Elephas maximus indicus: one gene and its partner. The protein of the gene in region 2 interacts with the protein of the main gene of each other region in a biochemical or structural test. Links are inferred from orthologs where the notes say so. Each region holds a gene or a part of one and is shown on either strand. Other genes may lie near its edges.

Evidence for each region.
Region 1: of the proteins of HTRA2 (region 2) and CSN2, one has a biochemical effect on the other in vitro, tested with the Homo sapiens proteins (2 studies listed by BioGRID). The link is inferred for Elephas maximus indicus from reciprocal best matches to the Homo sapiens genes HTRA2 and CSN2.

The regions. Positions count from the first base shown.
Region 1 is NC_064823.1:88,170,277-88,185,800, reverse strand, and holds CSN2 (beta-casein), read right to left. Parts: upstream 6,289-15,524; coding exon 6,238-6,288; intron 5,230-6,237; coding exon 5,182-5,229; intron 3,989-5,181; coding exon 3,947-3,988; intron 2,574-3,946; coding exon 2,052-2,573; intron 1,459-2,051; coding exon 1,453-1,458; 3' UTR 1,430-1,452; downstream 1-1,429. UniProt on the Homo sapiens protein: Important role in determination of the surface properties of the casein micelles.
Region 2 is NC_064835.1:61,302,545-61,317,992, forward strand, and holds HTRA2 (serine protease HTRA2, mitochondrial), read right to left. Parts: upstream 6,720-15,448; 5' UTR 6,657-6,719; coding exon 6,154-6,656; intron 6,052-6,153; coding exon 5,847-6,051; intron 5,758-5,846; coding exon 5,563-5,757; intron 5,349-5,562; coding exon 5,316-5,348; intron 5,112-5,315; coding exon 4,988-5,111; intron 4,828-4,987; coding exon 4,758-4,827; intron 4,114-4,757; coding exon 4,018-4,113; intron 3,897-4,017; coding exon 3,731-3,896; downstream 1-3,730. Other genes in the region: LOXL3 (lysyl oxidase homolog 3), read left to right, coding at 1-220, 463-643, 791-945, 1,173-1,340, 1,477-1,639, 1,837-2,080, 2,340-2,455, 2,533-2,669 and 2 more; lipid droplet-regulating VLDL assembly factor AUP1, read left to right, coding at 6,938-7,074, 7,154-7,291, 7,370-7,520, 7,726-7,910, 8,112-8,184, 8,280-8,353, 8,601-8,667, 8,775-8,877 and 4 more; ATP-dependent RNA helicase DQX1, read left to right, coding at 10,746-10,982, 11,228-11,421, 11,816-12,200, 12,545-12,778, 12,871-12,970, 13,075-13,233, 13,318-13,509, 15,189-15,308.

The DNA of each region.
Region 1 (15,524 bases), on a different chromosome or scaffold from region 2:
TAGGCTAGTAGATAAGGGCTAATTGTGCTACCCAGGTGTGGCCATACAATTTAACATCTAATTACAGCTACTTTTGAGTGAAAAGCACAGTCATAACAATTAAACTGGGACAATAGATGTAAACCTAGACATTGTAAAGCAAACTGGAATGTATGATCATTCTATCTCTTCCTCTACTTTTTGATATCCTTCTAATGATACAGTCACTCAATTTCAAAGCATTCTTCCATACTTATTTTCAACACCAATAATAATCTAAAGTTATCATTAAAGTGGCTAACTGCTTTTATAAAATTGTAATAAAGACAGGACAACATAAATATGCCTAAAAAGATTAATTTCTTAGAAAGACTGGAAAGGAAATACATTTTTAAAGAACTAATAATAAGCACAATTTCAGAAACTATTTTATACATATTTTTTGATATGTGTTTATACGGTTGCCAATTCAAAATTGAATTTATAAGGTACTAATTGAATTAAAAATTGAAGAGTGTGAAGAATGTATGAGTAAAATTCAAATCAAGAGGAGTCCCATACAATGCACAAAATAAATGAAGAAATAATGTTTGGCTATTTCCATGTAGATTCATTCAAAAATAACTCATTTTTGATAACACGATACAAAGAAAAGATGCCACATTTCCAGTCGCAGTCAATTCTGTGGAATAAAGAGAAAATATATATATATATTTTTATATATTATTAGTTATGGTAAATGATAAAACTGCTCTTTTCTTCCTATGTGTAAATTTAGTGGATTAACTCATAAGAGAAATTTAATTACAAATGTTTCCTGCTGTGCCCTTCTTTGGGAGCATATAAAAGTTTCTAGGAGACTAAATATCAGCTCACTTAGAACTGTTTTCATGAAATATCTAGTCTGTCATGATCATGAAAGAATTCATGTCTTAGGAATCCCAAAGCTAGCCTCTCTTCCATTTTTAGCCCTCACACCTGGACCAAATAATTTTATTTTGACTCATGAATCAAAAGAAAATATATAAATTTTAAATGTGATAAAAACAATTAAAATCTTATGAAGTCCAAGTTAGATATAAAAATGCAAGTTTATCTTTAAAAATACCTCAAATATATTTATATGAAAGTAGAAGAAAATTATTTTTGTTGTTCCTAAAAAAGGTGATAATCAAGTATAAGCTACTTGAAAGCAAACCAGTCAAATCTGTGGCAATAGCCATAAATGAAATTAAAAGCAATAATTGAAATTCAAAGGATATATAATCAGGTCAGTAAATAATAGTCAACTATTGTGAATAAACTGATAATTAACAAATAAATAAGTTAATATATTGATGGAGTTTATACTATCTTGGGCTTATCCAAGACAATGAAATGCCAAAAAATATTAAATATAGGAAAAATTAGTTTAATTCCCAAGCTCCCAAAACTTACCAGAAGTAAGAAGGGGGCATTAACTTTGTAATCTTCTTAGACCTTAAAAATAAGCAAAAATGTATATAAATATACAATTCACAGCTTGGCAAGAATACTTGCCCTAAGAATGCTTTGAGTAATGAAATAAACATCCTATGTATATATCAAGATTAAGGTATTGTGAAGGAAAATAAAGGCACATGGGGAATAGGTGTACACAAGAAAAACTCAAAACTGCAGAAAATAATAAATTGTCTTTATTCCAAACCCAATCAGATTATCAAATTTAATTCTGGCTTTAAAAAGCCCATATCTTCTTTACCTAATTCAGAAGTTCTCAACAAACCAGTTAAATAAGAATCCCTGAAAGCATCTCTTCCCAACACTCTGTTTCTTCTCCCAAAAAATCAGAACAATTATACCATAATCCCTGTGGATAGGCTTAGGCATTGGAATTCTCTCTGGTGGAGGAAAAATGTCCTTCAGGTGATTTTATTGCATATTTGTGTTGAGAATCACTGATCTAAAACTGTGTGTTTTTTGGGATACATTCATGTATGCATTTTTTTTTTTTTAATTCTAGAGTTCTCCTTTATGCTAACATCACACATACATCATGAGTGAAACAACTCAGTAAGTAGATTTGAACTTACAGCAACAGGGTTATAAACTGGAGCAAGTGGTTGAGCCACTGGGTAGATCTTACGGGTTGGGTCAAATAGAGGCTCTTCGTACAGTGGAAGGTTTTGGATGGGTCTACCTCTCTGGGGATAGGGTATCACCTGCTGGGGAACGGGCAGGACTTTGGGCAAGGATAGAGGAAGAGGAAGCACTGGAGTCTGAGCAAGAGGCTGGTGGAGCTGGTGTCTTAAGGGCTGGAGCAGAGGCAGAGGAAGGTGCAGATTTTCAAGATCGGTCCCAAGATTTGGGATCTGGGGGTCAAAAAAGGGCATTACTGGAGACTTAAGGAAGGACATCAATTTTTGCCTAGGAAAGGTGATTTCTTTAGCTTCAGGGAGTTGCATTACTTCAGGCTGAGGGAAAGGCAGCACCACAATAGGCTGAGCAAGAGGAATGGCGTTTGGTGGAAAGACAGTATAAGGAATGGGCTCAGCGAAAGGATAGACTAGAGGCTGTGGCTGGAAAAGGGGCTGGATTTTATTCTGATGTTCATCCTGGAAAGAAGGAAAAGGAATCTTTGAATCTATGATTTAGTTATTATTGTCATTCATGATGAATTAATCTCTTCTCCCTCTTGGAGAATCATAGTTGTCAAAACACACATAGTTGTCATTGAGTGAAAATAAAGATAGAACACCTTGCACTTATCTTGGTTAAGAAATCATTTTGAGTTATGGGAAGAATATTGAGTAAAATGCTCTTTGAGGATTTCTCATTAATCCACTCACTTCATAGGTGAACCCACAGTTCAAGCTGAAAACAATGCTTGGAGATTTCAAGACATTTTCCACCTTTTCCAGTTCCCTAGATAACTGTAGCTGTTCACTTTGGTCTTCTGAAGACATGGGCTTTTCAACATGTGTTCATAATAGACCCAATTGTTTTCACATAATAAAGAGGAATCTATTTTTAAAGGATTCGGAAGGATAATGCCAAGGTTTATTTTTGCTTTATTTTAATGAAAAGCCAGTCTTAATTTTTGGCAAAATTCAAGACATTATTTAACATTAACCAACTCTTCTCCTTGGTAGAAGGTAACTAGCTGGAATCTTTTAAGAAATACAATTTTGTAAATTCATTTTAACTTAATAAATATTTGGTGTGAGCACCAAACAATCCATCTTCCTAGATGAAGCAGGGGATCCTAAATACTACAATTAGGTAAATATGTTACTATAAATGTAAATTGATTAAATATAGAATTCTATGTTGTTCAGGAAAAGCCTTCATTTTTAAGTAAACTCTGCTACTTAATAACTTTCTGATATTGTTACACAATTAGGTACTCAGTTGCTCTGTACCTCTCTTCTCTCATCTTTGTAATGGAAATATTCTTAAAAATATCATATATTCATATATTCAATAAATGTTAGTATGAAACCATTTGAGTATTTATTATGTGCCAGCTCATCAACTCTATGGTATAAATATTGTTATTAATATTCTCAGTTTACAGATAAAGAAGGTAAGGCACAGAAAACTTGAGGCCAAAGTTACACAACTGAAAAGTGAGTAAGTTAGGATTCTGTGCCAGATTGCTTCCCTATTCCTTTTCATTACCATATCTACCTTGGGAATAAGATGAGCATAGTTTCTGACCTAGGAATATTCCTCCTACTATGCAGTTAGTCTTAGGGATTTAACTTGTACTCTGGGAATAGATTATGAGTTTAAAAACTGCATTTATGTCAGAGAAAATATAATGACTTTGTCAATGCCTGATTCTTACCCTGGTTGGTTGGTACACAGCACTTAATTTATTACCATTCTTTAGACTGAACATATAAGTTCTTCTAATGAATAAATATTTTCGTAGGTATCATACTTCCTAAAAACTTTAGAAATATACTCATCATGAGCAAATTACCTCTCTTTGCTGTTCCTCATGCTTAACTCCCTCAGGTTTTTGCTAAAAAACAAATGACAAAAAACTATCACCATATGTGAAAATTAAACATGGGAAATTTTTGGAAAATATGTACATTTAAATGTGAAGGTTTTACTTTGTTGACTTGTGTAACAGATTCCTTCAGAAAAATAAAAATAAGGTTGAGTTTTAATGATTTCTAGTCAAGTGAACAATTCTTATTTGTCAATATATCTCAGAAAACAAAGGCTTTTGATAGGTTAATATGGACACGTTATTAAATAATATCAGTCAAGATTTAGGATAATTGCTGAAACTAATAGGTTACACTGTTCTATATAAGCCTGTTTATGTATATACATACAGATAGATAAATGCAATCAAATCAGAAAAGAAAGCTAGTGAACATAGAATAAAAAGATGTATTTAATAGATGCTAATTTAATCCTTCTCTACCCTTATCCTTCCTATGACAAGAAGTGATCTCTAGTACCCTATCTGATTCTAAAAGTATAATATTCATTGAAAGTACATTCTAATAACCATTGATCTATCCTATTGATCATTCTAAGTTCACTTGTTATGTGCTAGGCTTAACAATATGTATGCCAACGAAGGATAAGAAGTAAACATTTCTCCTAAGGATCTCACAAACTTTTTGAAGAGAAAAAAATATATTTAATTAGCAGGTAAAGATAGACCCAAAAATAGTGGTGCAAGGGTAAATATTTACCTAATTCACCTGGCAGATTTACAACTACACTGTCTGTGTCTCGTTGCTTCTTACTTATTAAAGTGACAATTGTAATTACAAAATATGTCCATTTGCATGTTTGCCTAACCACTACATTACAATCTCTTTGCTATCGGAATTGACGTGCTTAACTTTTCAGTTTGTATCATCAACTCCTAGGCAATGTCATCTGTAGAAGGCTCTCAACAAATGGCTATCAAAACAATGAAGTCAGAGCAGAGAGAGCTCAGTTAAAAGTGAAGAGACAAAACAGATTGTACCATCGATAAAAAGAGAGCAAAGTGACTTACAAATTCAAGTAGGAAGCCAACCTAGAAACTACTATAATACTGAATTCTCCAGACAGTTAGTCTTCATAAACGTGTTATATTAGAAATTTACATTAGAATTTGTAAATCAGAACATAGTTAAATTAGCTTAACTACCATAATGTAACATAATAAAAAGATAAGCATAGCATGTTTTAAAATTGAGAAATCGCCTCTGAATAAAATTGTCTTATCTCACTGCTTGAAAGATTTTCTACAGTCTGTAAAGAAAAAAAAAAAAAAAAACTGGCTGACTCTTGTCATAGATCACCATAGAATGTTACTATTTTGTCCTTGGGAAACTTCCTCTGAATCTAAATATCTTACCTCAGTAGATACAATAATTTCTTCCTTCTGTAAAAGAAAAAACATTATTTTAGTTTCTATGGCTAACTCACTATTAATCATGATTCCTACTTTTCGTCACTTCCTTTATGAAGAATTATCTATTTCATAAATTTATTTCAGAATTATTATGCTACCTGTATACAGCACAAAACTTTAGATGAGTAATAGAAAATGAGTTATTTTAAACTGCATTAAACCATTTATTATGATTATCTGGGTATGGCCTGATACTCCATTCTCTGTGTGTCTTTGGACAGACACAGATAGGATTTGATCTAGTGCCCTATAGTTAAGAATACACATATTTTAGCATGGAATAACATATTTTTATGTAAGTTTCACAACCATGAAATTTTATTTGTGCAATAATACTCTTTTTTGTTGCCTTTATAATTCTTTCACCTCCTTGTTTTCTTTGTTGCTTATTAGTTTGTTTATTTTTCCTCCAGGGACTGGTAGACGAGGCATTACAAGCTTTCAGCACAGCTTTGTGGCCCTGTAGGCAGCTGAGTTGAGACACTGGGTGTATGTAAACCAGTTTCTTAGAAGTAAAAAAAAAGAAACCCATTGCTATCAAGTTGATTCCGACTCATAGTGACCCTGTAGGACTGCCCCACTGGGTTTCCAAGAATATAATCTTTACAGAAGCAGACTGCCACATCTTCCTCCCACGGAGTGGCTGGTGGGTTTGAACCTCCATCCTTTTGGTTAGTAGCTGATTGCTTAACCACTGTACCACGAGGGCTTCTTCCAGAAGTCAAAATATTCTGCCAAAATTCTGCATTATTTGAATACTTAAGAGTGTTGGTGATATTATTCTCTACACCTAGTCCGGTAGCCCATTATGTGTTAATTATCTAGAAACTTCTCTCCGTACTTACCTCTCTTCCAAGAGCAAAAGCCACCAGGCAGGCAAGGATGAAGACCTTCATGGTAATCAATTCCTATGAAAGGGAAGATGGAGAAACAGAAACATACTGGATCAATCCGATGTATTTTCTTATCTAGTTCTTATTTAGGTAGGTTTTATTTTTATTTATTTATTTTTTTGCCTTTAAAAAGTTAATACATGTCATAAAAATGTCTGCATTATAGAAAAAATATATATGGATAGAGGTTTTATTATGTGATCAAAGTCAAAATCTTACTGTGGCTCCCTGTTTTTACATATCATATTCAAATTTTATTGCCAGCCATTCAGATATTTTCAGCTCTCTAAAACCTTTCACCCACTCTTTTCACCTCATTCACTTATTAATTTATTTTAGATAGGTATAAAGATGTTATAGATATTTACAGAAAGACTTTTTAATTGATCATGTTTGAAAAATATTCATTTAGCACATTATATTGCCAGACAGTGTTCATATGCTGGGGAGACGGTGAATAAAAGCTGTAAGGTCTCAGATCTGATGGAGGCTTAGTTCTTTGGGGCGAAGACTAATTAAGGAAAATGTGTGTGAAGAAGATGATTTCTCCCAGGTCATATTTTATATTTATTTTTCCCTTATTAGATGAAAGGGTTTCAATGAATGTATAGTTTAATCACATCTCCTATCTCCAATAGACTGAGGTTTTAACTTAAGCATTTCCTATATTTATTCTTCTATTCAGATGCTTTCTTGGACTCATTGGTTTGTTCTCTATTAGTACCCACCAAGGAGTCTTTGGTGGCGCAGTGGTTAAGTGCTACGGCTGCTAAACAAAGGGTTGAGTATGAATCTGCCAGGCGCTCACTGGAAACTCTATGGGGCAGTTCTACTCCGTCCTATAGGGTTGCTATGAGCCAGAATCGACTCGAGGAAACTGGGTACTGGGTTTAAGGAGTTTTAACCCCCATGAACCTAATGATGTCTTTTTTCTTTTCTATCACATGATTCTAGAAAGCCTATGTTATGCCGCTTCTCTTCTCTCCGTAAAATGTGTCCAACAATCTCTAGATGATTTACCAAGAGGTCAGGTCCTCTTGGACTCCCTATCCTACCCTTTCCTCACTATCTCTTCTGGTGAAATGTATATAACACTTTTGACGCAAATGTACTTACTAACTGGGCTTTTTTGCTTGCTTTCGCTGCATTTTCTATATATATTTTTTTGTGTGAAAAAAATTATATTTTTGATATAATATCCCGAGGCACACAAACTTCATTCTCAGATTATTAAACTAAATTTGTAAACTAAACACATTTCAGATAAAAAAAGTCCCTAAATCATCTGTAAAATGTCCTTTCTAATATTTCAAGACTTAATTCTTCTATTAGAGAAAATAAACATTTTTCTAGATTTCTCTCACGGTGGCTATATAATTATTTATTTATTTTACTTTCTTTAAGATCTCCATGGAGCCCTGATGATGCCATCGTTAAGCATTTGGCTGATGATCAAAAAGGTCGGCAGTTTGAACCTACCAGCTGTTCCTTGGAAAACCTAGGGGCACTCTAGTCGTTCCTATATGGTCGCTGTGAGTTGGAATCAACTCCACAGCAATGGGTTTAGTTTTTTTTGGCTTAAGATCTCCATAAACTTCTGAATAAATTTGTATTGTCAGGATTCAAATATAGAATGTGATAGTCTGTTAGAAATTATTCCATATAAGGAGAATCCTATTGCATTCCTTAAATTTATATACAAGCTTTTCAGCCAGAACTTCATTTTTGACTGATATCAACACTAAAAGCTGCTCTTTTTTTTCCAAATCATACCTTTTCTTTGTTATTTGGTACCAAGTCATCTCTGTGCAATGTTAAATTTTTTTACAACATCAAGTACATTATTTCTTTTTATTTTAATTCTCTATTTTCACATCTCTATCCTAATATTATTTTGAAATATTATAAACTAGGTAATAAACTAGAAAGTTGGATGTTGTAGACAAATTTTTCATAAAATGAAATTATTTTAAAACATGTCAAGCCATATTGAGTCTTTTACTCAATATACTACTTCTGTAAACTCCAATGAAAGCATTCTCGGTATAATTTTAATATATTTGTTTTATGACTGTGATGTTTTAAATCAAATCAGAAGACTTAACTCAAGAAATTGATTTCCTCTTAATATAGCCTATTAACTAGCCTTGTACTAAATGTATATATATACATATATACCTAAAACAATATATATATATATTTAAAATTAATACATTTTCTTGAACTCATTAAGTCTATATGGTCATAATTCTTACCATATCCTACCAGGTGCTCCTATTTTTCTTTTTTTTAATCTAAGTTTTGAAAATAGTCTGAACTATCTTAAACATTCTTATTCCAAAGAGAATATTTTAACCACACGATCCAGCAATCCCACTACTAGGAATATATCCTAGGGAAATAAGAGCTATCTCATGAATAGACACAAGCACAACCATGTTCATTGCAGCATTATTCACAATAGCAGAAAAGATGGAAACAAACTTACTGCCCATAAATGGGCAAATGAATAAACAAATTATGGTACAGACATACAGCAGAATACCACACAGTAATAAAGAACAATAATGAATCCTGTAAACATCTCACAACATGGATGACTCTGGAGGGCATTATGCTAAGTGAAATAAGTCAATCACAAAAGGATTGTATGAGACCACTATTTAAACACCCAAGAAAAGGTTTAGACAGGAAAAAAAAAAAAACCAGTTTTGATGGTTATGAGAAAGAGGAGGGGTACGGAGGTCAAACCACTAACTAGATAGTTGTTCTTGTTGTTAGGTGCTGTTGAGTCAGTTCCAACTCATAGCGACCGTATGCACAACAGAATGAAACACTGCCCGGTCCTGCGCCATCCTTACAATCCTTGTTATGGTTGAGCTCATTGTTGCAGCCACTGTGTCAATCCACCTCATTGCGGGTCTTCCTCTTTTCCACTGACCCTGTACTCTGCCAAGCATGATGTCCTTCTCCAAGGACTTATCCCTCCTGACAACATGTCCAAAGTATGTAAGATGCAGTCTCGCCACCCTTGCTTCTAAGGAGCTTTCTGGTCGCACTTCTTCCAAGACAAATTTGTTCATTCTTTTGGTAATCCATGGTATATTCAATATTTTTCGCCAACACCACAGTCCAAAGGAGTCAACTCTTCTTCAGTCTTCTTTATTCATTGTCCAGCTTTCACATGCATATGATGTGATTGAAAATACCATGGCTTGGGTCAGGCACACCTTACTCTTCAGGGTGACATCTTTGCTCTTCAACACTTTGAAGAGGTCCTTTGCAGATTTACCCAATGCAATGCGTCTTTTGATTTCTTGACTGCTGCTTCCATGGCTGTTGATTGTGGATCCAAGTAAAATGAAATCCTTAATAACTTCAATCTTTTCTCCATCTATCATGATGTTGCTCATTGGTCCAGTTGTGAGGATTTTTGTTTTCTTTATGTGGAGGTGTAATCCATACCGAAGGCTGTGCTCTTTGATCTTCATTAGTAAGTACTTCAAGTCCTCTTTACTTTCAGCAAGCTAGGTTGTGTCATCTGCCTAACACATGTTGTTAATGAGTCTCCCTCCAATCCTGATGCCCTGTTCTTCTTCACATAGTCCAGCTTCTTGGATTATTTGTTCAGCATACAGATTAAATAGGTATGGTAGAAGAATACAACCCTGACGCACACCTTTCCTGACTTTAAACCAATCGGTATCCCCTGTTCTGTCTGAACAACTGCCTCTTGATCTATGTAAAGGTTCCTCATGAGCACAATTAAGTGTTCGGGAATTCCTATTCTTCACAGTGTTATCCATAGTTTGTTATGATCCACACAGTTGAATGTCTTTGCATAGTCAATAAAACACAGGTAAACATCCTTCTGGTATTCTCTGCTTTTAGCCAGGATCCATCTGACATCAGCAATGATATCCCTGGTTCCACGTCCTCTTTCTAGAACCAGCCTGAATTTCTGGCAGTTCCCTGTCCATATACAGCTGCAGCCGTTTTTGAATGATCTTCAGCAAAATTTTGCTTGCGTGTGAGAATAGGCATAAATATGGATCTCTTCCAGTCAGTTGGCCAGGAAGCTGTCTTCCATATTTCTTGGCATAGATGAGTGAGCATCTCCAGCACTGCATCTGTTTGTTGAAACATCTCAATTGACATTCCATCAATTCCTGGAGGCTTGTTCTGAAAAGCATTAGCCAGTGAAAACCTTATGAATAGCAGCAGAACACTGTCTGATGTAGTGCTGGAAGATGACCCCCTCAGGTTGGAAGGCACTAAAAAGATGACTGGGGAAGAGTTGCCTCCTCAAAGTAGAGTCGACCTTAAAGACATGGATGGGGGAAAGCTTTCGGGACCTTCAGTTGCTGATGTGGCATGACTCAAAATGAGAAGAAACAGCTGCAAACATCCATTAATAATTGGAACCTGGAATGTACGAAGTATGAATCTAGGAAAATGAAAATTGTCAAAAATGAAATGGAACGCATAAACATTGATATCCTAGGCATTAGTGAGCTGAAATGGATTGGTATTGGCCATTTTGAATCGGACAATCATATAGTCTACTCTGCTGGGAATGACAACTTGAAGAGGAATGGTGTTGCATTCATTGTCAAAAACAACGTTTCAAGATCTATCCTGAAGTACAATGCTGTCAGTGATAGGATAATATCCATACACCTACAAGGAAGACCAGTTAATATGACTATTATTCAAATTTATGCACCGACCACTAGGGCCAAAGATGAAGAAGTAGAAGATTTTTATCAGCTGCTACAGTCTGAAATTGATTGAACATACAATCAAGATGCATTGGTAATTACTGGTGATTGGAATGCGAAAGTTGGAAACAAAGAAGAAGGGTCAGTAGTTGGAAACTATGGCCTTGGTGATAGAAACAATGCCAGAGACTGAATGATAGAATTTTGCAAGACCAATGACTTCTTCATTACAAATACCTTCTTTCACCAACATAAATGGTGACTATACACATGGACCTCGCCAGACGGAACACGCAGAAATCAAATTGACTACATCTGTGGAAACAGACGATGGAAAATCTCAATATCATCAGTCAGAACAAGGCCAGGGGCTGACTGTGGAACAGACCATCAATTGCTCATAAGCAAGTTCAAGCTGAAACTGAAGAAAATCAGAGTAAGTCCGTGAGAGCCAAAATATGACCTTAAGTATATTCCACCTGAATTTAGAGACCATTTCAAGAATAGATTTGACACATTGAACACTAGTGACCAAAGACCAGATGAATTGTGGAATGACATCAGGGACATCATCCATGAAGAAAGCAAGAGGTCACTGAAAAGACAGGAAAGAAAGAAAAGATCAAGCTGGATGTCAGAGGAGACTCTGAAACTTGCTCTCGAACATCAAGCAGCTAAAAGCAAAACGAAGAATTGATGAAGTAAAAGAACTGAACAGAAGATTTCAAAGGGCCTCTAGAGAAGACAAAGTAAAGTATTATAATGACATGTGCAAAGAGCTGGAGATGGAAAACCAAAAGGGAAGAACACGCTCGGCGTTTCTCAAGCTGAAAGAACTGAAGAAAAAATTCCAGCCTCGAGTTGCAATAGTGAAGGATTCCATGGGGAAAATATTAAACGATGCAGGAAGCATCCAAAGAAGATGGAAGAAATACACAGAGTCATTATACCAAAAAGAATTAGTCGATATTCAACCATTTCAAGAGGTGGCATATGATCAGAAACTGATGGTACTGAAGGAAGAAGTCCAAGCTGCTCTGAAGGCATTGGCGAAAAACAAGGCTCCAGGAATTGATGGAATATCAATTGGGATGTTTCAACAAAACTAGATGGTAGAGTAGTGTTAATTTTAGTGAAAGGAAAGACAACACACAATATAGGGGAAGTTAGCATAACCAGACCAAAGCAAAAACATGGAAGTTTGCTGTACACATCCAAACACCTTGAGGGACTGAGTTACTGTGGCTAAGGGGTGGGGACTATAGTCTTGGTGGAGGGGGGGATCTCTGTCAATTAACATAACATAGGTCATAAAAAAAAAAAAAGTTCTACATCCTATTTTGATGAGTAGCATCTGGGATCTTAAAATTTTTTACAATTTTTTTACAGTTTGCCAGTGGTCATCTAAGATATATCTATTTGTCCTGTCTGTCAGAAGGAAAGGTTAATGAAGAATATCAAAGACACAAGGAAAATATTAGTCTAAAAGATTAATGGACCACATGAACCTCACCCTCCGTTGGCTGAGCATAGAAGAACTAGATGGTGCCTGGCTACCACAACCAACTGCTCTGACAGGGATCACAATAGAGAGTCCTAGACAGAGCAGGAGAAAATGTAGAACAAAATTTAAATTCACACACACACAAAAAGACCAGACTTACTGGTCTGAAGAGACTGGAGGAACCCCTGAGAATATGTTCCCCACCTCCCAACACCCTGTTAACTCAGAACTGAAGCCACTCCTGAAGTCCACCTTTCAGCCAAAGATTAGACAGGCCTATAAAACAAACAATAACACATGTGAGGAGCATGGTTTTAGGCCAAGTATACAAGGCCAAATGGGCAACACCTGCCCAAAAGCAAAGAAAGAAGGCAGATAGGGACAGGAAAACTGGATGAACGGACGTGGAGAACCCAGAGTGGAAAGGGAAAGAGGGAGAATGCTGACACAATGCGGGGATTGCAATCAATGTCACGAAACTTGCAATAAATTTTTGAATAAGAAACTAATTTGTGCTGTAAACTTTCACCTAAAGCACAATTAAAAAAAGAAAAAATATATTTTAAACAATTATGATCTTTCTATATCTCAACTTACCTTGAAATCAGTGGTTAAAAGGGAATATATTAAACTTATATATGAAATTCTTACCTTTTTCCAAGATGGAGGACAAGAAGTAAAGGTGGAGCTGAGTAGCTGATGTTCTGTCTGCTTTTGTGGCTGTTTATACACTTCATTCAATGACATGCTAATTTTGTGGTTTGTAATAAAATCAATAGGGAGATTCTATTCCAAGAAGTATACATCGCTAGAAAACGATTTCTCCCAGTTATCTGTCCTCAGAAATCTGGGGAGCATTTCAACAAGGCAGCAATTCACAATCCGATAAAGGAAACTTGTCTAGGAAATGCAATTGTCCAAAAACTAAATACAGTAACTAGTGGGCAGTGGCACTCTGGCCCAATCATCAAGCCATTGTGCACACAATTCAGTCTTTTTAATACCATAAGATCCTCGATGAGGAGAAATTCTCTGAAATCACCAGAGACATTCCGGGACTTCACAAAAACCACATTTCATCCTAACCTGAGCAGCCACTAGTGTTTTATCCTACAATGGAGAAACGGAGAAAATAGGCAAGTTCTTGGTGATAGCTGAGTCATGTAAGGCAAATTGCTTAGCTCCCAGAATTATTTGATCTGGGGAAGTAAATTATTCAATTCAAATCAAGATTTTGTATATGAGGGGAATAAACCCTCTTTTGTAATGGAACGACTCAGAGAAGGATTCTTGATGATTGTATAGGCAAAATCCTGGGTATATCTATTAAAAAAGTTGTTCAAAATGCCATAGAGACTTATTTGACAAATACTGATTATCTTTTTGCATTTAAGATACAGCGATAATAATAATAATAAAAAAGAATATACTCTTTATTTAGTGCTATTTACTGCTAACCGCACGACAGGCACTAAGGGCTTTACAGACATTATCTTGTATAATCCTCACAAAAACAAAAAGGTCATGAGGCAGCTCTCATCTCCATATTTTGATTGAGCAAACAGATACTAAAATATTAAGCAACTTGCTCAAAATCATTTTGTTAATGACAGAGATAACATTTAAACCCTAACGTGTCTAATCACAAATGATTCTATTTGATCACATGCAGTGCCCAGAGCCTGTGGTTAAACTTACTGAAATGTCGTCAAAATATTTAGCTGTCAATTTACTATTTTGGTTTAAAAATGCAGAAATGATGACCAGTTGGATGAATAGGAAATTGGCTGCTAACTATAGGGAGGGAGAGATGTTCACTAAGGCGATGTTATTTTAGCTGGGCATTGAATAAGTGAAATTTTAAGAGTTGAAGAAATAGGAATAAAACATTCAAGCTAAGAAAATACAGGAACATAAAGAGCAAGACAGAGCTTTATGGGTTTCAGATTTTAGGCTGCATGGAGGTATAGAGTATACATTATTATTGCAAAGGTCAGACACTGATACTTTTGAGTTTCAGATATGGGGTCTGACATAATTCACTGAGAAAAGGGGAAGATATTAGAGATGTGAAAGAAGGAAGGTATATAAAATTACTTGAATTCTATGACTATATAACAACTCCAGTAATTCAGTAAAGGATGTAGGATTTTGATGTTATTACATTAGAATAAACCAGACATGATGATGACCTCAACTAGGGAGATAGGACTGGGTATCTTAGGCAATGGAAAGATAAACTTGTCATTAGAATACACACATTGTGTGAAATCAGAGGAAAGAGTGAATATAATATTTCCTGGGTGGTTGAAAAGTCTGCCATGAAACAAGGCTGAAATTAGAAGGGGGGTACTGAGTTAAATATTATACATGGGAAGTTTGAGGATGTACAGAAATCTGTTGTAAGTTAAATGTGATCAAAGGAGGAGCTGTAAGTACAATTGTAAAGGTGATTTTTTTTTTTTTTTTTAAGAAAAATGAGTAAGTGAACCTCCTTGGGGAAAGAGTGGCAAGTGAGAAGAGAAATTGTCCAAGAATAGAATTCAAATGCCCCTGTCATTCAGGAGATTGTAGCACAAAGGGAAATAGGAAAGACTACAGAGTACCAAGCAGAAGAATCAAAAGAGTGGAAAGGTAGGGTTGTCATGGGAGGAAATAGGAGAAGCAAGTGGGGTCAAGAGTGAAAATACTACACAGATGTGAAGCAGGGTGAAAACAGAGAAGAGATTTTTGAACATAGGGGGTCATTATCACTTTAATAATTAGCTACGCTCCATGTGGTTAAGAAATAAGCAATTTTTGAAGAATTAAAAGCAACATATGTAAACTACCCTTCTGAGAAATTTAAAGGAGGCGGTAAAGGGACCTATGGAATACTGTCTATGTCTACTGCCTAAGGATAGGCATAACTACAGAAGGTTGTTTTCAGAATAGGGAAGACTGGAAGCTTAAGAGAAAGAGGCCAGTGGAGAGAAAGACTTGAAACCTACCAAAGGAGTGGGAATAGATTGACA
Region 2 (15,448 bases):
GCTGCTGGCCCAGCGGCAGCAACACTTCTTTGGTCTGCACGGGGTGGCGTGTGTGGGCACAGAGGCCCACCTCTCCCTCTGCTCCCTGGAGTTCTATCGTGCCAATGACACGATCAGGTGCCCTGGAGGGGCCCCTGCGGTGGTGAGCTGTGTGTCAGGCCCTCTCTACGCTGCTTCCAGTGGCCAGAAGAAGCAACAACAGTGGAAACCTCAGGCGGAGGTGTGTGAGACAATGACTATGATCTTCCCCACCCCAGGTGGAAAAACCCCTAGCCTGGCCATCCCCTGACTAAGCACAGCCCTGACCTTCGAAGACAGAGAGGAACATTCCAGGGAGTGGCCACAGACCTGATACCTCCCCTCCCTGCCTCCACTAATCTCATGCAATGCCCATGTCTATTTAATCCTCTCCACGCTGATGTTTCCATTCACTGCTGTTGGGCACGTCTCTCTCCTCTGTAGGTCCTTGTGCGTCTAAAGGGTGGATCCCACCCTGGAGAGGGCCGGGTGGAAGTCTTGAAGGCTGGCACGTGGGGCACAGTCTGTGACCGCAAGTGGGATCTCCTGGCAGCCAGCGTGGTGTGTCGGGAGCTGGGCTTCGGGAGCGCTCAAGAGGCTCTGAGTGGTGCCCGCATGGGGCAGGGTGAGGGGCATGGAGGTGGAAGGGAGAGGGAAGGAGGAGGTATATACTCCTGGGGGGAGTACCTTCCTTGGGAAGAAGGTTAGGATACCCCTGGGCAGACAGTGAAGGTGCAGTTACAGCCTCCTGATCTTTGACATCTGGCCCTAGGCATGGGTGCCATCCACTTGAGTGAAGTGCGATGCTCTGGACAGGAACCTTCCATCTGGAATTGCCCCCACAAGAACATCACAGCTGAGGACTGCTCCCATAGCCGGGATGCTGGGGTCCGATGCAACCTGCCGTACACTGGGGTGGAGACCAAGGTCAGTCATACTGTCCCCCTTGGTTCAGGTCTCCACCAGTCATCCCAGCCAGCCCTGGGCTCCAACCTGCAGTCTGATGTGCCCAGCCCACTATGCCAGGGGCCTGCCATCCTGCAGCTCCCGCCTGGTTCCACCACCACTATCTAGCTCTTTATGTGCCTCCAAACCACAGACTTCCACCCCGGTCCAAAAGCTTCCCCCAACACCTCCATTATGCGTCATCACAGATCCGACTCAGTGGGGGCCGCAGTCGATATGAGGGGCGAGTTGAGGTGCAAATTGGAGGACCTGGGGCCCTTCGCTGGGGTCTCATCTGTGGGGATGACTGGGGGACACTGGAAGCCATGGTGGCCTGTAGACAACTCGGCCTGGGCTACGCCAGCCATGGCCTGCAGGTGAGTGGGAAGGGGAGAGGGAGCCAAGGCCATTACCTCCAAAGCCTTTGCCTGGGGCAGATGAGTGTGGATGTGATCCCTTGGCCTAGGAGGCTGGTTTCTGGGGCCTCAAGGAGCCATCTACCTATGTCCCCAGGAGACCTGGTACTGGGACTCGGGGAATATAACAGAGCTGGTGATGAGTGGAGTGCGCTGCACAGGGACCGAGCTGTCCCTAGACCAATGTGCTCATCACAGCCCCCACATCACCTGCAAGAGGACAGGGACCCGCTTTACCGCTGGAGTCATCTGTTCTGAGAGTGAGTGTAGGGTAGGGTGCTGCAAGCCCGTGTGTCTGGGCCACCCCTTTGTGGGGAAAGAGGGGGCTGAAATCTGGAGGGGTACACCTTCCCCATGGAAAATCAGCCTCATACACCTAGGGGTGGGCAGAAGCACCCCCATTTGTCCCTGCTCCTCAGCAGTGATTTCTAATACACTCCTTCGTTCTCTGGGGCAGCTGCGTCCGATCTGCTGCTGCACTCGGCACTGGTACAGGAGACGGCCTACATCGAGGACCGGCCCCTTCACATGTTGTACTGTGCTGCCGAGGAGAACTGCCTGGCCAGCTCGGCCCGCTCAGCCAACTGGCCTTATGGCCACCGGCGTCTGCTCCGATTCTCCTCCCAGATCCACAACCTGGGACGCGCTGACTTCAGGCCTAAGGCTGGCCGCCACTCCTGGGTGTGGCACGAGTGTCATGGGTGAGAGGGTAGGGGATCAAGTAGAAAGGCAAGAGCAAACGAGAGACTGAAAGGGCTGACTCAATAGGGGGATAGCAAGTGGGAGAAGGGAGTAAGATGTATGTAAACCTACATGTGACAGACTGATTGGAATGGTAAATGTTCACTTGAAGCTTAATAAAAATTAATTAAAAAAAAGAAGAAAGGCAAGAGCACAGGGAGTGGGCAGGCCTGCTGCAGGTAGGGAAGGAAACAGTTCTCTTGCCCCTTGTCCCCACAGGCACTACCACAGTATGGACATCTTCACTCACTACGATATTCTGACCCCCAATGGCACCAAGGTGGCTGAGGGCCACAAAGCTAGTTTCTGTCTAGAAGATACTGAGTGTTATGAGGGTGAGTTGGGGCCTAGAATGGACTAGTGTCTCCATCCCACAGCCTTTCCTCACACTGACATATACCAACCCCTTCAGATGTCGCCAAGAGGTATGAGTGCGCCAACTTTGGAGAGCAGGGCATCACTGTGGGTTGCTGGGATCTCTACCGGCATGACATCGACTGTCAGTGGATCGACATCACAGATGTGAAGCCAGGAAACTACATTCTACAGGTGCTTGGGGTCTGTCTGAGATGTCCAGATGACAAGTGGGAGGAACGTTAGGGGCACCTTAGGATTTGAAGACTACAACTGGGTGAAATGGCCCTTCTCGCACTCACAGGTGGTCATCAACCCAAATTTTGAAGTAGCTGAGAGTGACTTCACCAACAACGCAATGAAATGTAACTGCAAATACGACGGACATCGCATCTGGGTGCACAACTGCCACATCGGTATTTGATGGATGAGCAGTGAGGGGGAGGCCTTCGTTCTCTTTTCCTGACTAAGTTGTCTGTCTTCCCACCCACCTCTGGATCTCTCAGCCTCTCCATTTTGATCCACCCTGCCCCACAATGGGTCTCTTTTCCTGCCTCTGCCCAGAGTGCCTCCCACACCACCTGTTTACTCTGCAGGTGATGCCTTCAGTGAAGAAGCCAACAAGAGATTTGAGCGCTACCCTGGCCAGACCAACAACCAGATCATCTAAGGTGCCACCACCCTCTGCAAACCACCACTGGCCCCTAATGGCAGGGGTCCGAGGCTGCCATTACCTCAGGAGCTTACCAAGGGATCCCTGATGTCAGCAGGCTCACTGCACTCCCCCAGCTGTGCCCTAGGGATGTGGAACTGCCAAGCAGAAGTCACCACCCTCCCTGCTAGGCCAGCTGTCAGCATCTGTGGCCCAGCACCAAGCCGAGCCCATCACAACGCAGCGCCTAACTAACTGCCCATAACAACAGATGGCAGTGGCTACTTATTTTGAATGGGGAGGTCAAGACGGTCAGCTCCAGTATCTCCCCTCAGTTCAGAGGGGGATACAGCCTTACCTCTAGCCTTTTGGTGGGGGAAAAACCCAGCTCCCTCCCCTTGTTTTGACTATAACAGGTTGCTAGGTATAATTTTATTTTATATAAAAAGTGTTTTTGTGAGTCTTCAGAACCCAGGAATTGGTGCTGGTGGTTGGAGGGACCTGCCCCCACTGGTTCATTTAATCCTCTGCCTATGTGCCCTCGGAGCTGAGGCCAGGAAGGCAGGAGGAAGTCAGCAGGAGCCTCAGACTCTTGCTGATCCATTCATTCTGTAACTTCAGGGGTCACATATAAGGTCAGTGTTTCTGGTCCCCGCCGGATCCGCACTGCCAGCTGGGATTGGGTTCGCACAGCTTCATAGACATCTTCAGCATTTTGTACCAGCTGCTCCCCGATGGCCAAGATCACATCACCCGGCCGTAGGCCAGCCCTAGGGAGAAAGACGGTCAGAAAGAGAAAGGAGGGAGTGTACAGCCCAGCCTTCATGCCTACCCACGTGCCCACCCCCCACACCTCACCCCACTCCCCCCACAGGGCAGTCTCGCCCTCACCGGTGAGCAGGGGAGCCCAGGATGACTTTATGGATGAGCACACCATGCTGAACATCTGGAAAGTTTGGTTCTCGAAGCTGCAGTTCAGCAAGGATGCTGAAAGGACACAAATTACCCTGTTAGCCACATCCACGTACTCTCCCCATCTTGGGTTCACCTTAGTTTCTCATCAACACACTGACAACCCTATGGACAGACCATGTGCTAGGTACTATAGACACAAAGACAATTCACTTTCTGCCTTTTAGCATTTAGGTAGTGAGAGGTGTACGTAAAAGATAGCTAATTCCAAATGACACACGATGTTAAATCAATGGCATAAATAATTCTAGAGTCCTAAGAGAAGCTTTGGGAGAGAATGGGACTTAACATCAGATGGGTCTGTCATTGAACTATAGAAACAAGAACAGCATAAATAAAAACAGTAGGCAATCAGGGTGACTGCAACAGTATTCACATAGGAAGTAATAGAAGCAAACTCTGAGAGGTTCAACTGGAGACAGATGGAAAATGGCCTTCAAACTCCAGGTGAATGGAATGAAGACTTTAAAGTAAAGCAGCAACAGGATAAAAATCAATCTGGTTGCAGGTGTGCAAAATGAAGTGGGGTGAAAATGTCAAGGTGGTGAGAGGGGACAGCTCCTCTAATAGCTCCACATGTGAGGCAGGAATGAGGCTAAAGACAGGAATGAGATCAAAGCCCAAAAGAGATGCCAGCTGCCCACCCTCAACCCTCATACCTGGGAGTCAGAGTCAGCATCATCACCCCAATGTAGCGGCGCTGGGACCCACTGACTCCAAACAAGGAATCTGTGATAGAGGGACAAATGAACCCCACCCAGCTACATCCTTCCTCCCGCCTCCCACTCCTCCTAACAGACCCCTCTCCCAGCAAGTCCCAATGAATGCCCCTCCCCTGTACCCCACCGACCACTTAAAGGAACTCCCTTCTCCCTTAAATCAGGCTCACTCTTCTTTTCCCCACGACGCAGAAACTCTCGAAGGCGATCAGAAGGGATGGCAAAGGAGATTCCAGCCGTGACTTTCATGGTGTTCACCCCGATCACCTCCCCATCCTGCAGGGACACAGGCCCCTGTTCCCTAGCCCAAACAAATAGTAGGGGATGGGGGGTACCTGAACAAGAGTATCACGGAGTGTTAGGGAGATCTGGCTGGATATTGGGGGATAGCCAACAAGAGACTGCTCAGAAACTTGACCAAACATTCTTCGGTTAGGGAAAATCCCCCCTTCCCACACTGACCTGGGGCAGGGATTCTTAGAAGGATGTCCCACTCACCAGGTTAACCAGAGGACCTCCAGAGTTTCCAAACTGTAGGATAAGGAGAAAACATGGAAGAGATCCCGGGGCTCCAAGCCTAGAGGCATAACTGGGATGTAAACATTCTCCAAATTCTTTCTTCTCCCAGCCCCTGAATGAGTGGCTACCTGTTTGGAGCCCAACCACTACCTATCACAGCTGGTGTCCACACCAGCTCCCTCCCACCTCCAACCTAGTTTGTCATTTCTCTCAGGCCAGGACGCACATCAATAGCTGCATCAGTCTGGATGTATTCCACATTGGTTTGGGGCAATCCCAGGTCTCTGGCTGGGCGCTGAGCAGAGCTGACAATGCCGGATGTGATGGTGTTCTGCAGCGCAAAGGGACTTCCCATGGCAACAACAAACTCCCCTTGCCGAACATCGGCTGAGCGTCCCAGCGGCAGCGTGGGGAGAGGCTCCTAAGGGAGAATGGGTGCAAGAGACCTGTCAACTGGAGATGGAGGCAAATTCACAGCTCCAATCAGACCTGGCCTACCCTGACCCCCACCTCGGTCTGAATCCTAAGGGTAGCAATGTCTGCCACGGGATCCACAGCTGTGACCATGGCCTCATAGGTGTCGCCACTGGGCAGCCTCACGCGGACATGGCGCCGATCTGCCACCACATGGGCATTGGTAACGATGAGCCCATCGGCAGCCACCACGAATCCTGAGCCATTTGAGATAGGGACCTCGCGGCTTGAGAAAGGGTGCCTGGGAGGAAGGAACAGCTCGGATGTGAGGAGGCTCTGACCCTCCTGTCGCCCACCCTCCGGCCCGCGGCTTCGGTGCCTTCCGCTCTGCCCCCACCGTTACCGGCCCAGGATCTCGATATAGACTACGGCAGGTGCCGTTTTCTCCACCACGTCTGCGATGAAGTTGTACTGGCTCCGGGGAGAGGTGGGCGGCGGGTCAGAGACCGCGGCGAGGACCGCCGGAGGACCCCGACCCCCGCCCCACAACAACAGCACAGCCCCCCCGGCGCCCAGCGCCACCGCCAGCCACACACGCGGACGGGTCCCAGGGGTCCCTGAGGCCTCCCGGGTTTGGGGATCCGGGATCTCCGCGGTCAGCCGTGCCCGGGAATCCGGGGTCCCCGACGTCAGACATGCCGGGGGTTCAGGGACCCCTGCAGATAACCGGGCCCGGAGATTCGAGGTCCCATACGTCACCCGGGCCCGGGGGTCAGGAGTTCCTGACGTCAGCAAGGCACGGAGGTCAGGGGTCAACAGGGATCCTTTTCCACAGCGAATTCCCCCCAAAGCCCGCAATCCTCGGAGGCTCCAGCCTGCACCCCGCCCCGCCCTCAGCGCAGCCATCAGCTCCGCCTCGGCTGCCTCCTCGCCCGCCCTACTCAGAGGCGGTGCCCTGGACGAAGCAGACGGGACGCGAGGTACGCCGGTACCTGAAGTCCTCTAGAAATGCACGCCGGGACCCAGGATTCCGAGAGGCGACTCCGCCCCCGGCGCCGCGAATGCTGGGAATTGTGGTCCCCCCGGGACGTGAGCTCTGAGGCGGCCCAAGGGGCCGCGGGGCATGCTGGGACCACTAGCCCTTCCGGGCGCCTCTGCGGGATTTCGGGCTCCGACACCCTGGGCGGATGCCCAAGGACTGCCTTCCCAGGAGCCCCTGCGGCGGGGCGCGAAGATGGCGGCGACCGTGGCCGGGCACCGCTAAAGCAGCAGCGATGGAACCTCCTCCAGCACCGGGGCCGGAGCGGCTCTTTGACTCGCACCGGTAAGAGCCTCGGCGGGAAGAAGCCGACTTTCGCGTCCCCTCGGCTTTGGCGCCCGATTATTCTGTTTCTCGCCCACAGGCTCCCGAGTGACGGCTTCCTGCTCCTCGCGCTGCTGCTCTACGCGCCCGTCGGGTTCTGCCTCCTAGTCCTGCGCCTGTTTCTCGGGCTCCACGTCTTCCTGGTCAGCTGCGCGCTGCCAGACAGCATCCTTCGCAGGTTCCGACCCGGCGCTCGAGGAGGGTCAGGGCTGGGCCCGGCCCGAGGCCGTGCAGTCACCGGCGTCTATGTCTCCAGGTTCGTGGTGCGGACCATGTGTGCGGTGCTGGGGCTCGTGGCCCGGCAGGACGACTCCAGACTCCGAGATCACCGCGTCAGAGTCCTCATTTCCAACCACGTGACACCTTTCGACCACAACATAGTCAATTTACTTACCAACTGTAGCACGGTGAGTGGGCGCGAAACCAAAGAGCATCCCGGGGGCGGTTCCCTTGGGCCCAGCTCTAAGGCTTCCCTCTGCCCGCCCCTCCGCCCGCCTATTCGGGTTTCCCTTGGGGACCACAAGGTACTGACCCTTACCCTTAGCCCCACTTATCTGTCTCACATGTCAGTTTTTCTCGTTTCCCTCCATTATTCTTGCTTTCTCTTTCCAGCCTCTGCTCAACAGTTCTCCTAGCTTTGTGTGCTGGTCTCGGGGCTTCATGGAGATGGAAGGACGCGGGGAGTTGGTGGAGTCACTCAAGAGATTCTGTGCTTCCAGGAGGCTTCCCCCAACCCCTCTGCTGCTGTTCCCTGAGGAGGAAGCCACCAATGGCCGAGAGGGTCTCCTGCACTTCAGGTGGGTAAGCACAGGTATTGGGCTCCAACTGGGAAGGTGGTCAGCCCTGGGGACCCTTGGGTTTTCACCTTACTGGTCAGCCCTCGCTGCCCTGAACCCCTCTATACTCCATCTGCTTAGTTGTACAGTTTGACAGTTTCCTATTTTAAGTCCGGTAGGAGCTGCTAACTGGGCTGGGTTCCTATTCTCTCCTTCTTCTAGTTCCTGGCCATTTTCTATCCAGGATGTCATACAGCCTCTTACCTTGCGAGTTCGGAGACCCCTGGTCTCTGTGGTGAGTATGTGTTGGACAAGGAATTTCTAGGGTTTGGAGGGGAAGTTTCTCACCCCTGGCGCTGGCTCAGGACTCACGTCATGCCCTCCCCTCAGACGGTGTCAGATGCCTCCTGGGTCTCAGAACTGCTGTGGTCACTTTTCGTCCCTTTCACGGTGTACCAAGTAAGGTATTAACTATCTTCACTTTTTGGTGGCTGGGGAGAAGCTTACCTCAAGGTCAAGGAGATAGATACCTCCGCCTTGTCTGCTTGCAGATTTTTTAACGTTAAGGTTGCACCACAGAGGCAACACAAAGTATTTATTATCGTCCCACCCTCACCACCACTTTACATAAGAAGAGGTACCAAGAGTGGGGAGGGGATGGCAGCCTTTACCCCAGCTGCCCCCAACATGGCCCTGGATTATTCTTTGCAGGTGGCTCCAGCCTGTTCATCGCCAGCTTGGGGAGGGGAATGAGGAATTTGCTCTCCGGGTACAACAGGTGATGGGGTACACAAGCAGGGTGGAATTGGGGTCTTTCCCAGAAGATGATGGAAAAAGTCTTGAGGCCTCAGTTCTTGACACTTCCAACCTTCCAATTTGCCTTAGTTAATGGCCAAGGAATTGGGCCAGAGAGGTACACGGCTCACTCCAGCAGACAAAGCAGAGCACATGAAGCGACAAAGACACCCCAGATTACGTCCCTCATCAGGTGTGTGGTCCTTGTACACAGGCTTTTCATTTTTCATCCTACTGTGATTTTCTTCCTATCCTTGTGCTAGTCAGTTTCTCCTTTCTCCTGGTTCTGTACTTACCATGTTTTTAATTTCTTTTTTGGCAGCCCAGTCTTCTTTTTCTTCCTCTCCTGGCCTTTCTCCTGATGTGCAGTTGGCAACTCTGGCTCAGAGAGTCAAGGAGGTTTTGCCCCATGTGCCACTGGGTGTCATCCAAAGAGACTTGGGTATGGGAAAGGGTGGCTTCAGACAAGGAGACAAGAGGGTTGTGAGGGGAGAAGGTGAGCAGTAACAGACTACCCTTTCTTCTTTTCTCTTCTTCCCCAGCCAGGACCGGCTGTGTAGACTTGACCATCACTAATCTCCTTGAGGGGGCTGTAGCCTTCATGCCTGAAGACATCACTGAAGGGACTCAGTCCCTTCCCCCTGCCTCTTCCCCCAAGGTGAGACCCAGAAAATAAGGGTCAGGCCCAAGACTTGGGGTGGGAACGGGTGTCCTCATACTCCTTCGCCCTGGTCTCTCTTTTTTGATTCTGAGACGCTAGCACAGTGCCTTTCTTACAAAGTAGGCACTCGATGCGTGTTTAATGATGATGACTTCGCAAGCCTTCTGACATTGTGATCACCTCAGTTCCCCAGCTCTGGCCCGGTGACCCCTCAGCCCACAGCCCTAACATTTGCCAAGTCCTCCTGGGCCCGGCAGGAGAGCCTGCAGGAGCGCAAGCAGGCACTTTACGAATACGCGAGAAGGTGAGGAGGATAGAGGACAAGGTAGGAAAGGGCAGGCTAGAGAAAGGAATCACGGAGCTCAGGTGAAAAGCCCACACGATGTCTTCTTCCTATGTTCACAGGAGATTCACAGAGAGACAGGCCCAGGAGGCTGACTGAGCTCAGAGGAGCAGGATGGCACCCAGAGCCGCAGGACGGGGACTGGGGGCAGCCCTCACCCAATTCACAACAGGCTGGATGGGTGGGTGGTATAAAGGGAGGGATGGGGCTCCTCCAGTGTCACATTAAATTCAGGGTTTTCATTCAAGGTCTCTGTTGCCTCTTTGGGTCTCAAAAGCCCTGAGCAGGTCCCTTCCCTTGGTTGTGGGGGTGGGAGTGAGGGCCTCCTTGTGAATTTATGGAGAATGATCAGAATGGAAGTGTCTGAAATCACCTCATGGCCAAGAGTAACTCAACTGAAACCCACCAGCAACCGGATCCCAGCTCGGGTGTTGACCCCAGGTTTGCGAAGAAAGAGCTACAAAACTGCAATTCCCAAGATGCCTTCCACTACCAGATGACCCGTCATGCATATGGTTCACACATGCTCAGTGTGGTGGCTGAAACCTTTTTCAATAGGCTCGTAAGTTAAATAAGGTGGAGCAAATGGCACCACCTCAAGATCAGGCTTAAGGATTTGTGTTTGAGACGAGTCCCAGGGTGGAGCCAGAATTTACCTTTGTACTTTATGCAGTCAGGGTTGGTGGCAATTAGCTGGGTGACTTCTGGAACTGGCTGCCATCCTGACACGTCTCAGAGCTACAAGCAGGTTCGAATCAAGGATCCTTTTGGCCCTGCTACCCAGATTCCTGCTACCCCTGAGGACCCCTGCATTAGTCACAAGATTTTTACTACCTGGCTACAGGGTAATAGTCTACTTTTTATAGTCCCTTTGTCGGATACTCAAACGCCCAGCACTGTTTCCTGGCAGGCAAGCAGTTCTGGGAAGGATAGACCCCAGGGCATCTGTATCTGAGGGTAGAGGTTAGGGATCAGGGCTGAAGCGGGAAGACTCAGTTACCAAATATGGGGCCTAACTGGCCACCCTGCCTTCTATAGGTCCTGCCCAACATCCACCATGACTTCACAGCCCCTCGGGCTGGCAGAAGAGTCTGGCCAAAACCCTGGGGAGTCTGAACTGGCTGTGAACCCCTTTGATGGGCTCCCCTTCTCTTCCCGCTACTACGAGCTGCTTAAGCAGCGCCGAGCCTTGCCTATCTGGGCTGCTCGCTTTATCTTCTTGGAGCAGTTGGAGAGTAGCCCCAGTGGAGTGGTGCTGGTGTCTGGGGACCCTGGCTCTGGCAAGAGCACCCAGGTGCGGGGAGATTCTGGGAGTGGACAAAGGGAGGGGCTGGGGAACTGTCACTTCCTTTGGCAAGGGGTACTGGGCTGTTTGAGGTCGTGGGGGAGATGGGCAAAGGGATACGGGCTGGGTTGGCTCCAGTGTGGCTAGTGAAGGACCAGGGGACTCCCAAATAGGAGATTAAATTGTCCGTAGCTCCCCCAGCACATCTGACTGAAGTCCTTCATCTCCCTGACTGGGTGTCCCTCCTACCCCAGATCCCTCAGTGGTGTGCAGAGTTTGCGCTGGCCAGGGGTTTCCAGAAGGGCCAGGTAACTGTCACTCAGCCTTACCCTCTGGCAGCACTGAGCCTGGCTGTGCGGGTGGCTGACGAGATGGACCTGACGCTGGGTCACGAGGTTGGATACAGCATCCCCCAGGAGGACTGCACTGGGCCCGACACCCTGCTCAGGTGGGGCCTCCTGCAGGCCTGGTCCAAATCAAATTTTCCTCATTCTGCATAAACAAGCTCCACTTATCTCACCATGCCCTCCCTCAGCCCAATTCACCCTTGAAGTTAGGCATGATGCAACTGCTGAATAAAGCCCTTTTAACCCCACCCAGGGACCTCAGACATTTACGAAAGTATTGCTTTCCCAGTTGGGCTATAGCCTGTGAACAAAGTGTCCTCAGTGGGGTTGTGGGGTCACAGTTATGAGTCTACAGACTCAGGAAGTCAGTCACAGGGTCTCTTTCTGAACTTCAGTATCAAAATCTAGGTCCCCTGGGGGAGAAGCTCCACTGGACTTCTGGGGCTGGCCAGTGTCCACACTGACTCCTCTGCTCCCTGCTACCAATGTCAACAGGTTCTGCTGGGACAGGCTGCTCCTGCAGGAGGTGGCCTCAACCCGGGGCACTGGAGCCTGGGGCGTGCTGGTGGTGGATGAGGCTCAGGAGCGGTCAGTGGCCTCGGATTCACTCCAGGGGTTGCTGCGAGATGCCAAGCTGGGAAACCTCCCAGGGGACTCCAGAGTGGTGGTCATTACTGACCCAGCCCTTGAACCCAAGCTCCAAGCCTTCTGGGGCAATCCCCCTACTGTGCATGTTCCCAGAGAGCCTTGCGGGACTCCCACCCTCCTCTACAGGGACAGTGTCCCTGCTGACCGGGTGGAAGCTGCCTGCCAGGCTGTGCTTGAGCTGTGCCAAGAGGAGGCTCCAGGTGATGTGCTAGTGTACCTGCCCAGTGAGGAGGTAAAAAAAAAAAAAAAAAGCACTGCAAAAGGGGATATTCATGTAGGCTGTTTTCTGACCTGGGGGAAAGGGGGCAACAGTGGAACTGTAGTATTTGCTCTCTGTTGGGGTCCTGAGGAAAAACTCAAGGATCTCAGGATGAAGAGGTCTATCTCTCTCTTTCTGAATCCCTCTAATGAAGAGATTTGTGATTCGGTGAACCCCTGCAATTATGACACTTCCAATTTTATGAGTGTGTACATTTTTCAGGGTGAAAAGAAGGGCCATCACTTTCATCAGTTTTTTAAAAGAGTCTGTAACCCAAAAAGATAAGAACTGCCCTAATACCCTACACTTCTCCTCAGGAAATTTCCCTGTGCTGTGAATCCCTGTCCAGGGACACAGGGTCCCTGGACCCCCAACGGCCTCCTCCACGGTTGCTGCCCCTTCATCCAGCCTATGGTCAAGCCATTCAGGCTGTATATGAGGACACAGATGTAGGTGCCCGAAAGGTCGTGGTCACTCACTGGCTGGCTGACTTCTCCTTCTCCCTCCCTTCCATCCGACATGTCATTGACTCAGGACTGGAACTTCGAAGTGTGAGTGAGGGAGACACGGGGGGATGGGGAGGTAAGGATAGAAATGGCCCACTCTGATCTGTCTTGGCCTTGGTTTGGGGGTTGGACGACAGGTTTACAATCCTCAGATCCGAGAGGAATCCCAAGTGTTGAGGCCTATCAGCAAGTGTCAGGCCAAGGCAAGACGGCTGCGGGCAAGAGGGTTCCCACCAGGTGAGAGCTTTACCCTCGCTGCAAGCAAACCAGAGAAGAGGCACCAACAAACAAGCCCTGAGAAATCCACAGCAGTATTCTTTCTCAGGTCTTTCTCCCCTCAGGATCCTGCATCTGCCTGTATCCTGAGTCCTTTCTAGAACTAGAGGCTCCCCCAATGCCCCAACCCAGGGTGTGTGAGGAGAATCTGAGCCCCCTGGTATTACTACTAAAAAGGAGACAGATTGCAGATCCGGGAGAGTGTCACTTCCTGGACCGGCCAGGTGAGCACGCCTCCTGCCCAGGTCCTGCCACCTGAGTACCAGGCTCTGAGGCCTCAGGTCCTGCAACCCCTGCTTCCTCACCAGCTCCTGAAGCACTGATGCAGGCACTGGAAGACTTAGACTATCTGGCTGCCCTGAATGATGATGGGGACCTGTCAGACCTGGGAGTCATCCTATCCGAGTTCCCCCTGCCCCCTGAGCTGGCCAAAGCCCTGCTGGCCTCCTGCGAGTTTGACTGTGTGGATGAGATGCTCACCCTTGCAGCCATGCTCACTGGTACAAGCCCCCTCTCTGGCTCTAAGCCTTCCTGTTGGTATTTTGCTCCTCCTCATGTTAGCCCTTTCCTTTGTGCTCTAGTTCCCACCCGTCACAGCACCACCTGAAGAACCAGGCTTAATCTCTTACTCCCCTCTGTCCCTTTAGCTTTTTCTCTCTGCTGGTTCTTTCCCCTCAAAACACTTACATCTCTCCCAGCTGTTGTTAACACTCACACACCCCTCTTCCTCAACCCTATACTCCTTTTTAACTACAGCTTCATCTCTATCCTTTTCTATCTAATGTGTTCCTCGCCCACTGCTTTCCACCGTCAGGACCCACTGCCCACTGAAACTGCTTTAAGTGCACCAGTGACTTCCTAGATGCCTAATCCAACAGACGCTTTTGAGCCCTTATTTGTAAACTTCTTTCAACATTTGGGAGTGCTGACCAAGTCCCATCTTGACACTGTCCCTTCCCTGAGCCTCTGTGATACTACTCTTTGTGATTTTCATCCTACCTCTCTGGTCATTCCCTTAATCTCTTCCTTGGGTTGTTGGGCCTCTGCCCATCCACTGTAAATTGGTCCTCAGCGTTCTGTCCTTGCCCTTTTTGTCTTCTCATTCCCTGAACTATCTGAGCATGTTCATCAACATCCATGGTGTGGACTGCCACCTTTATACTTAAAACTTCCAAACCTTGCATCTCTCTGACAACACCATTCTGGATCTTAGATTTATATATATCTGACTCCTGATTTCTACCAGAAGAGTTCACAGTACCTCAAATAAGTATGCACTCTCTTAAATTACCCCCTCACCACCGCCACCACAAAATCTTTTCCTTCCTCTGTCTCTTCAAGTTTCAGATAACACCATCTCTGCAGCTCCACTACCATCTTTCTAGATTAATCTTTTTTCAGGGTCCTTTTTTTAATTTAATTCATCTGCTGCTCTTCACACTCACTGCCAGTACCAAGGTTAGATCCTTATCACTGCTCAGCTGAATTCCTTAAGTAGCTTCCTAGCTTTTTGAAACACATGGGACTTCCTTATTTAAGAACTCTATTTCAACAGCTGTTCTTTACCTTCAAGACAGAATGTAAACTCCTCTGTACAGCACATTCGGCCTTTCATGACCTGTCCTGTACCTACCTCTCCAGCTTTATCTCCTGCCACTCTGCCACACAGGCCATTCCCTCCATCCATACTAAGCAGCTTGCAGTTCCGCAAATATGCCGTGATATTCATTCTGTGCCATGCTGTTCCTGTAGTCTAGAATATTCTCTCTGCCCCACCCCTTTACCACTGAGCTAATTCATACTCAGACTTCAAATATGGGCCCAAGGGTCCTTTTCTTTTTCCCCCACATCACTCTCCTCCCCACCCAAAGCCTGGATTAGGTACCCACCCCTCCTCTTTGTTTCAAGAGTGCCATAAACACACACCTATCATGCTTATCAAGTTTGCTTACTTGTTGGTCTCTTCCACCAGTCCCTAAACTGACTCTGAGGTCAGAGATGGTCTTTATTTATCCTCAATGTCTAATAAAGTACATGGCTCTTAGTAGTTATCAATGTGTTTCGAATAAAGTTCCCAAAGAGATACTACTTCTACCTCTTCAGAGCTTCACCTTCTCCAAATACTATACTGCTATCCTTTCTGATACCCCTAAATGACCTTCCTCTCTTCTGCTTCCAGCTGCCCCTGGGTTTACCCGTCCCCCACTCTGTGCAGAAGAAGCTGCTCTGCGTCGTGCCCTGGAGCACACAGATGGTGACCACAGCTCTCTGATCCAGGTGTTTGAAGCCTTCATACAGAGTGAGTGGCTCATTCTGCATCCTCTTAGGGAATTCAGATTCCCCAAAGCGGGGAAGTGGTATGCAACTAGCTGACAGATCTCTGTGTCGAGGAGGAGGCCCTGTGGCCAAGGGTTGGGTTGGGTTCTTTTGGGGGTCTCA